2 linked regions of the Callithrix jacchus genome follow. The protein of the gene in region 2 interacts with the protein of the main gene of each other region in a biochemical or structural test. Links are inferred from orthologs where the notes say so. Each region holds a gene or a part of one and is shown on either strand. Other genes may lie near its edges.

Region 1 (4,449 bases), on a different chromosome or scaffold from region 2:
GTGCAGTGGCGTGATCTGGGCTCACTGCAACCTCCACCTCCTGGGGTTGAAGTGATTCTCCTGCCTCAGCCTCCAGAGTAGATGGAATTATAGGCATCTGCCACCAGGCCCAGCTGATTTTTGTATTTTTAGTAGAGACAGGGTTCACCATGTTGGCCAGGCTGGTCTCAAACTCCTGACCTCCAGTTATCCACCTGCCTCAGCCTCCCAAAGTGCTGGGATTACAGGTGTGAGCCACTGCGCCCGGCCTCCCTTACTCTTTGTTAATTGAGGACCTGGTACATTTGGGAGCTGGGCTGGCCGAGCATGAATCCAGCCTCTCCAAGCCACAATCTTAGGAAGTGAATTTACTTCTTGGAGCCTCAGTTTTCTTTTTTGCAAAGTGGAAAAAAATAATTACTCCAAACTTCTCAAGCTTTATAAGGAGTAAATGAGTTAATATCGATTTTTTTTAAAACTTAGAACAATGAGGCATGACAAGCACTCAAAAATGATTCTTTAGGCCAGGCACAGTGGCTCACACTTGTAATCCCAGCACTTCAGGGCCCCAGGCAGGGGAATCACTAGAGCCAAGAGTTCAAGAACAGCCGGGGCAACACAGCACTACCCTGTCTCTACAAATAATAAAAAGTTGGACATGGTGGTGCAAGCCTGTAGTCCCAGGTACTCAGGAGGCTGAGGCAGGAGAATTGCTTGAGCCCAAGAGGTGGAGGCTGTGAGGCTGCAGTGAGCTGTGATCACGCCACTGGACTCCAGCCTGGGCAACAGAGCAAGGCTCTGTCTAAAAAAAAAAAAAGATAATTACAATGTATTGAGCACTTACTGTGTGTCAAACAACATTTTAAGTGCTTCGGCACGTTAATTTCTTTATTCCTCTCAATGAAACCAGATGAGGTGGGTGCAGTTATTATCACTCCGATTTTCCAGAGGAGACCATGAAGGCAGGACTTAGTAAAGAATTTGCATGACCAGGTACAGTGGCTCATGCCTGTAATCACAGCACTTTGGGAGGCTGAGGTGGATGGATCACCTGAGGTCAGGAGTTCGAGACCAGCCTGGCCAACATGGTAAAACACCATCTCTACTAAAAATACAAAAATTATCGAGGTGTGGTGGCACAAGCCTGTAATCCAAGCTACTTGGGAGGCTGAAGCACGAGAATCGCGTGAACCCAGGAAATGGGGGTTATAGTGAGCTGAGATCGCACCACTGCACTCCAGCCTGGATGACAGAGTGAGACTCTGTCTCAAAAAAAAAAAAAATTGCACAGGAACACATAGCTATTATGTTGTAAAGCTACTATCCAAATCCAAGTGGTGTGTCTGCTAGGTCCACGCTCTTTCCTACCCTCCTCACCGTCATGAATAGCTATTGATTTGCCAGGCTCCTGCCCCTCATGAAGCTAGGTCTCCTCTTCTCCCGGCTCTCCTGATACCTCCCAGACTGTGCCTCTACCCTGCTTAGACTCTGCCCTAATCTGCTCTGACGTAGTCATCCACTCAATCCTGCAAGGTTCAGGAACTGTGTCTCCCATTCAAGGATACACTCAGAGACTCTAATCTCAGCACTTAGGGAGGCCAAGGTGGAACAATCACTAGCGCCCAGGAGTTCGAGACCAGCCTAGGCCACATAGTGAGACCCCCCTGTTTCTTTTTTTTTCTTTTTCTTTTATTTTCTTTTTGAGACAGAGTCTTGCTCTGTCACCAGGTTGGAGTGCAGTGGCATGATCTCGGCTCACTGCAACCTCTGCCTCCCGGGTTCAAAGGATTCTCCTGCCTCAGCCTCTTGAGTAGCTGGGACTACAGGTGCCCGCCACCATGCCCAGCTAATGTTTGTATGTTTAGTAGAGACAAGGTTTCACCATGTTGGCCAGGATAGTCTCAATCTTTTCACCTTGTGATCCACCCGCCTCGGCCTCTCAAAGTGCTAGGATTACAGGTATGAGTCACTGCGCCCCACCTTGAGACCCCTGTTTCTACAAAAAAAAAAAAAAAAAAAAAATTCTAAAAATGATCCAGGTGTGGTGTCAGGTGCCTGTGGTCTTCACTACTCTGGAGGCTACGGCAGGAGGATCTCTTGAGCCTGAGAGGTTGAGGCTACAGTGAGCAGTGATTGGGTCACTGCATTCCAGCCTGGGCAATAGAGTGAGATCACATCTCAAAAAAAAAAAGACCCTCGGAGATGGGAGGAAAAACCAACTTGTGGGGAGGGTCACGCATTAGGTGGCAAAATCCGGCTATGTGTGTACCACACGCTTCACATGACCTGCTGGAAAGGGTTGAGCGTTGTCCTTGTGAATGGCGCTCTCCCCACTCTCACCTCTGGAGCATACAGGCAGCAGCTTTGCTTTGCACAGGGCTTGGTTGGCAAATAGCAGGTGCTCAGAAAGGAGTAGACCGTCCTCCGACTTACAGCCCTCATGCATGGCTTGCAACCCCCCATCCCAGCTCTGCAGCTCTGCTAACTCCTGAGCCGTTGTTTCAAGGCTGGGCAGGTGTCCCTAGCTGGATGTGGCAGGGCGGGGACCCTCCTCCTCCAGCAACCTCCTCTCATCTCGGTCCTTAGCTCCTGGGACCCATCCGGGCACCCGTTCCCCGCCTACATCCTCTTTTCCCCCAGCCTCACCCATAGCTTTCCGGGCCAGGATGTCCGATCGCCTCCACCGGGAGCCCCCACAGGTGAAGATGACTGCTCGGATGAACTCTCGGCCGCAGAGTTTCACTCCATAAGGTGCTGCCCGGGCCTCGGTCCCCGGCCACAACTCCCCGGTCAGCACCCACATCGCCAGGAGCAGCAGCAGCCTGTACCTGGCCATGCTGGATGGACAGAGACGCCTTGGATTCAAGAGTGGGCCAGTGTCTCCACTGCCTCCTGGCCCCCCATTTATACATCGTGGCTCCCCCCAACACTGCCTGATGAAAGCTGAGTGCCTCCCTTATCTTTCCCAGCAGAGGGGAGACAGGCACAGCCCCCCCAACCCGACCTTTCTCATGTCCCCAACGAAGTGATAACCTTTCTCAAGGGACAGGGTGACGTGGCCCAGCTCACTGTCATCATCATCGACAGAGAGGCTAGAAGGCTTTGATTCTGCAGAGACCAGAAACGCATAATCCCAATGGGCCGGGTAGGAAAACACAAACAGACGCCCGCAACGTTAGAATCCTGGACCTCTTCAAAGGGAATAATAACAACAATAACAGTGAATGGATGTGCTGCGGGGCCAGGCACACTGCTCTGAGCATTTTATTTATTTATTTATTTTTGAGACAGAGTCTCGCTCTGTCTCCCAGGCTGGAGTACAATGGCGCGGGCTCGGCTCACTGCAACCTCCACCTCCCAGGTTCAAACGATTCTCCTGTCTCACCCTCCCCAGTAGCTGGGATTACAGGCGTGTGCCACCACACCCAGCTAATTTTTTGTATTTTTAGTAGACATGAGGTTTCACCATGCTGGCCAGGCTGGTCTCGAACTCCTGACCTCTGGATCTGACTGCTTCGGCCTCCCAAGTACGGGGATTCCAGGCATGAGCTACCGCACCCAGCCTATTTGTTTTTGAAACAGAGTCTCGCTCCGTCACCCAGGCGAGATAACAGTCCCAATGGCATGATCTCAGCTCACTGCAACCTCTGCCTCCCAGGTTCAAGCAATTCTCCTGCCTCAGACTCCCAAGTAGCTGGGATTATAGGAACCTACCACACACCTGGTTAATTTCTGTATTTTTAGTAGAGATGGGGTTTCATCATATTGGCCAGGCTGGTCTCAAACTCTTGACTTCGGGTGATCTGCCTGCCTCGGCCTCCCACAGTGCTGGGATTACAGATGTGAGCCACCATGCCCAGATGTTCAAAGCATTTTATATCTGTGTAATGTCTTTAATTCTCCCAACAACCCAAGGCAATGGTTCTCAAATGTGAGTGAGCTTCAGAACCTTCAGGTGGGCTTGTTAAAATGGCGATCAGGCCGGGCATAGTGGCTCACACCTGTAATCCCAGCTTTGGGAGGCCGAGGCAGGCAAATCATCTGAGGTCAGGAGTTCGAGACCAGCCTGGCCAACATGGTGAACCTGCCCCCATCTCTACTAAAAATACAAAAAATGAGCCAGGTGTGTGTCTCATGTTTGTGTCTGTAGTCTCAGCTCTTCGGGAAGCTGAGGCACAAGAATTGCTTCAATTTAGGAGATGGAGATTGCAGTGAGCTGAGATGGTGCCACTGCACTTCAGCCTGGGTGACAAACTGAGACTCTGTGTCAAAAACAACCAAAAAAACACAGATCTTTGTGTCCTACTTGAAGCGTGCTGGACTCAACAGGTTTGGAACATATCTAAGAATCTGCATTTCTGGCCGGGTGCGGTCGCTCGTGTCTGTAATCCCAGCTACTCGGGAGGCTGAGGCAGGAGAATCACTTGAACCCGGGAGGCAGAGGTTACAGTGAGCTGAGATCGTGCCACT
Region 2 (4,509 bases):
CACACTGTGTCCGCTCCCTCCGGCAGTGATGCCACTCCCCAGAGAATCGCTCTCCCAAGTTCGTGACAGGTGTTATCCCCTGTTAACGTTTGCGCTCCCGGGCTTTGCAGCTAGATCTGGCTTAGCACGTTCCTGCTAGCCCAGTCCGGAATGACAATCGATACAATGACTCCATGCTAGCCCCGTCCGGAATGACAATCGGTACAATGGCTCCATGGGAGGTGACTTTCCTTTGCCATTTGTCCTGGGGACGGACCATAAGGGTTAGTTCTTTTTCTTAACTTCAAAAACGTTTCTTGCCTCCAAACTCAATATTCCTGGGGCAGCCCGGCAGCAAGCAGAACCTTAGCGCTGCTGCAGTCTAGTTAACCAAGTAGCAAAGGAGAGTTTGCCGCAGAAGTCGCTGGAATAAACGGGCACAATTGTCTGCGCATCATTTGATTAAGCTCCGCTCCCTGTGCCAATTTCTTTACATTTTTGCTGCTTCTCTCTGCTTCTGGGCGACCCCACACTGCCCAGCGTGGGCAAAGTAAGGAGAGGCTGTGGGGTGTGGAACCGAGGTTGAAGGTCCGGCCCGTGGGGCTCGTCTCTGCCCCTTTGCCAGCTTCCTCTCTCCACCTGATTTCAAAGCATGCCCTCTCCAGGAAAGGTTCTCCGGCCTATACACAGGCTGCTCATCCTCCTCTCACCTACTTCTTGAATGTCCCCCCTCCCCCACGCAGCCTTCCTTAATCTGTTCACCTCCTTCACCGCGTGGGGAAGGCCACCTTGCCCCTACAGCGCGCCCTGGACCTCAGTAGGCAGAGCTGCTGGGCAGCAGGTCGCAGCGGCTCCCGCTGTAGACCACGACGCCAGGGGGGTAGTAGAGCAGTTCCGGTTCCGCGGCCACGTGGAGCGGCGCCAAAGCCTGCAGCCCCTGATCCTCGGGTTCCGGCTTGGTAGTGGCAGTGAAGGGGCGCATGCTGGTGAGTGAAGGAGACGCGATTCGCCACAGCAGGCTCTTGAGCGCTTTGCGGAACTCGCGGCGCACAAGGCAGTAGAGGATGGGGTTGAGGCAGCTGTTGGAGTGCGCCAGGCACACGCTCACAGGGAACGCGTATACCTGGCACAGGAAATACTCCTGGCTGAAGGGCACGGCGTTGAACTTGATGAGGATGCTCCAGGTGGTGAGCGCCTGGTTGGGCAGCCAACACAGGAAGAAGGACAGGACAACGAAGGTCACTGACTTCGTGACTTTCGACCGTCTCCGAGCACTGGCTCCGGCCGGGCCTCCGCCAGCTACTGCGGTCCCTCTTTCAGTACCCGCCACGCGGCGGTCGGAGATGAAGCGCACCAGCAGCAGGTAGCACAAGCTAATGATAGCCAGCGGCAGCACGAACCCCAGCAACACCTTTTGCGAATGGTAGAGGCCCAGCCAGAACTGCCTATCGCGGCCCAGCAACTTGTCGGGGAAGCGCACCAGGCACAGCTCTTCGCCCATCACCTTGACCGTGGTGGAGAAAATGGCACTGGGCAGAGAGGCCAGCGCGGACGAAGCCCAGATCCACAGGCACAGCGCCTTGGCGGAGACGCAGCAGCTGTTCCCCAGGCTCCGGCCGCAGCAGTCGCCCCGGCCGTGTCCTCGGGTCCGGTGGCTCTTTAGAGCCGAGGCCACAGAGTGGTAGCGCGCCATACTCATGGCAGTGAGAAAGAAGACGCTGGCGTACATATTCATGGACGTCACCATGGACACGATCTTACACATGGCCTTGCCAAAGGGCCATTTGAAGTCAAGTGCGTTCTCCACCGCCCAGAAAGGCAGGGTGAGCACAAATTGAAAGTCCGTCAGTGCCAGGTTGGTGACGAAGAGGTTGATAGAGGATTTGCGCCAGCCCTGCTTGCTCTTCATCAGGTAGAGGACCAGCAGGTTGCCCGCCAACCCCAGGGCGCACACCACCCAGTACACCACGCTGATGAGGATCCGCACCCGGGCCTCGGTGTCCGAACTCTCTGCCCCGCCGCTGCCAGGGGGATGTCCTGGCGCCGCGCCGTCCGGCAACTCCAGCCCCAGCTCCCACCACAAGTCCCCAAGCTGTACCGACGCGTTACCACTCGTGTTGGCCGCCTCCAGAAGGTCCGGGACCAGACTGACGAGTTCTGCTAGCCTGTCCCCGCCTCCTGCCTTATTCATGGTGGCTATCGGGGCTGCATCGACCATCTGCATGCGCAGGTACCTCTAGGTCATGTTCCGGAGGACAAGACCTAAGAGAACACGGTTCGCCCTGTTTTGTTCCCAGTCTAGCTAGCCTGCGGGGCGTGCGCGGGAGCTTTCAAAGTAGCTGCTGAAGATAGAGCTCAGGAACTGGGTACTCAGCGAGTCCTGGCGCACAGCGAACCAACCGCCTTGGACTCAGAAGTTGAGCTCCGCGGTTGCTTTGGAGCAGAGTTGAGGAGCGCAGTCCCAAAGGCAAGTACTGGGCATCCAAGGGTTCTCAGGCCAAGCTTGGAGTCCCTAGATTCTTATATACAACGCAGACTTCCCCTCTCCGTGTCCCACGGTCACTGAGGCACTGGCGCATAACTCACCCAGCCGCTTAACCGTGCGATTTGGGGCCGCTCGCTCTCTTTCAAATACCTTTGGCTGTTTCCTCTGGGACTGCTTAGACGAGGTTTCCGTCCTTGGAAAGAAAGAGATCCTAGGGTTCTGTCCACCTCGCTCTGCTGCCCGGAGGTCAGTGGGTGTCTGCATCTCTCCGCGGTTGTCAACTCCGGGTGGGTTGCCAGCGGCGCCCACCAGTTGCAGTGGCACTTGCACGGCCGCGGCGGCGAACCTCAAGGAGCATGCGTAATCCCGTGGCGCCGGGAGAGGCGCTTTCCGAGGTGCTGAACCAAGCCGCGGCCGCGCCGCGAGGGAGCGCTGGGCTGCCGGCAAAGCCCACACGCCAGCTTCCATTTTCCTCCCCAAAATTTCAGCAGGAAACAGTCTTAACCCTTTATTTTACACCTGCAGGAGAAAGTGGGCTTTGACATGCGTTTCCTCTTTCTTTCTTATTTCCAAACATTATTATTAGAAGGGTTTTTTTTTCTTCCTTCCTCACTCCCACTTTATCACTGAAATTATTCCATTTGGTGAGGAATGGTTCTAAAAATATGTGATATCCTGCTTATTTTCCTTCCTAAAAGTAATGACAGTGATCTTTTTTCATGCTTAAGTTAGACGATGTGTTCTTATTGGATACATAAAGGACAGCTCCACCTCCTCTCTTTAATTAGCGGATCACTTATGTGGTGTCTGTGATTGTCAGGATGTTCAAAGGGGCTTCTTCACAGGGTTCAGGGGTTGCCCCTACTTTAATGTATTCTGAGACGTGACACAAAAACAGAGCAAATAAGTGGTGGGCCTACATCACAGTAATTAAATGCCCTAGGCCCAAAGCGCTTCAACAAATTGTTTGATCACATACAGCCATGGTCTCTTTACCTACATGCAGATAGAACAGAGGATACCACTGGGCTGATCGTGAACCCTCAGCCCCCCTATTTCCCCTAGGGTTAGTATCAGAACTCTTTTTCAGGTGGTTTTCAGACCAATGGAAGTATATTCTAAGGACTTTTCCAAGGGAATGAATGAAAAGCATTTGTATTGCTTCTCAAGATGCAGTCTACATAAATGCCGGGTCAATTGCTCTGGTGTAAATTACACTTCTAAGGATTTACTTTAAAAATTTGAAATGTTTTTCTCTGGGTCTAGGACTAAACTGAAACAAAAGCATCTTAAGCATAATTGTCCTCACCTCTGGAGCACTACAGAACTCCCATCTTTAGCGATAAAGAGAATCCAACCTTCAAGATGAGGAGATAAGAAACACTTAGAAAAAAGCAAAGAAAAAGAAAGAAAGAAAAAAGGAAAGAGAGAAAAGGAAACAAGAAACAAGAAAAAAGAAAACAGGAACAATCTTGATTCCAAAGGACATTTAACCCCGAAGAGCACACACCCTGTAAGGATATTGTCCTGCTCTGTCTGCCCACTAGAGGGAGGCTGGGCTTTAGTAAAAACCTTGCCGAACACCAACCATTTCCTTTGATCAGTTCTTTTCTGGAGCAGATCACCCCCGCCGTGAGGATTCCTCCCAAAGCACAGGTTGTTTCTGTGGACGACTCTTATCTTGGTTTTAGTAACCTCACTTTCATGCTCAGTTTTGACTTTATTTTTAACCATTTATTTCCTCATCAAATTTCTCCCTCTCTTCACCTCTGTCTCTATTTCTCTTTCTTTTCGAATATCTCAAGGGGCTATTGAAATACAGGAAAAGCTAACGCATACCCTGAAAGCTCTCTGCTGTTAAATTTTTGGTTACGTTCACAGCAATGACTTCCATTCCACACACACAGCTGCCTCTCAGTGCTTCTAAGCACACTCAGGAATAGATAGATCTACTTGATCCACTCTGAATCACATGTACATATTTATACTTTATGAAAAAATTATAGGTGCCTGACTCAATTCATTTCATATTCATTGGCCACTTA

What was found.
Region 1: the proteins of RXFP3 (region 2) and RLN3 form a complex in vitro, tested with the Homo sapiens proteins (2 studies listed by BioGRID, with this or other methods). The link is inferred for Callithrix jacchus from reciprocal best matches to the Homo sapiens genes RXFP3 and RLN3.

Annotation. Positions count from the first base shown.
Region 1 is NC_133523.1:12,808,277-12,812,725, reverse strand, and holds the start of RLN3 (relaxin-3), read right to left. Parts: upstream 2,983-4,449; 5' UTR 2,816-2,982; coding exon 2,626-2,815; intron 1-2,625. UniProt on the Homo sapiens protein: May play a role in neuropeptide signaling processes. Ligand for LGR7, RXFP3 and RXFP4.
Region 2 is NC_133503.1:171,375,861-171,380,369, forward strand, and holds the start of RXFP3 (relaxin-3 receptor 1), read right to left. Parts: upstream 2,814-4,509; 5' UTR 2,204-2,813; coding exon 794-2,203; 3' UTR 1-793. UniProt on the Homo sapiens protein: Receptor for RNL3/relaxin-3. Binding of the ligand inhibit cAMP accumulation.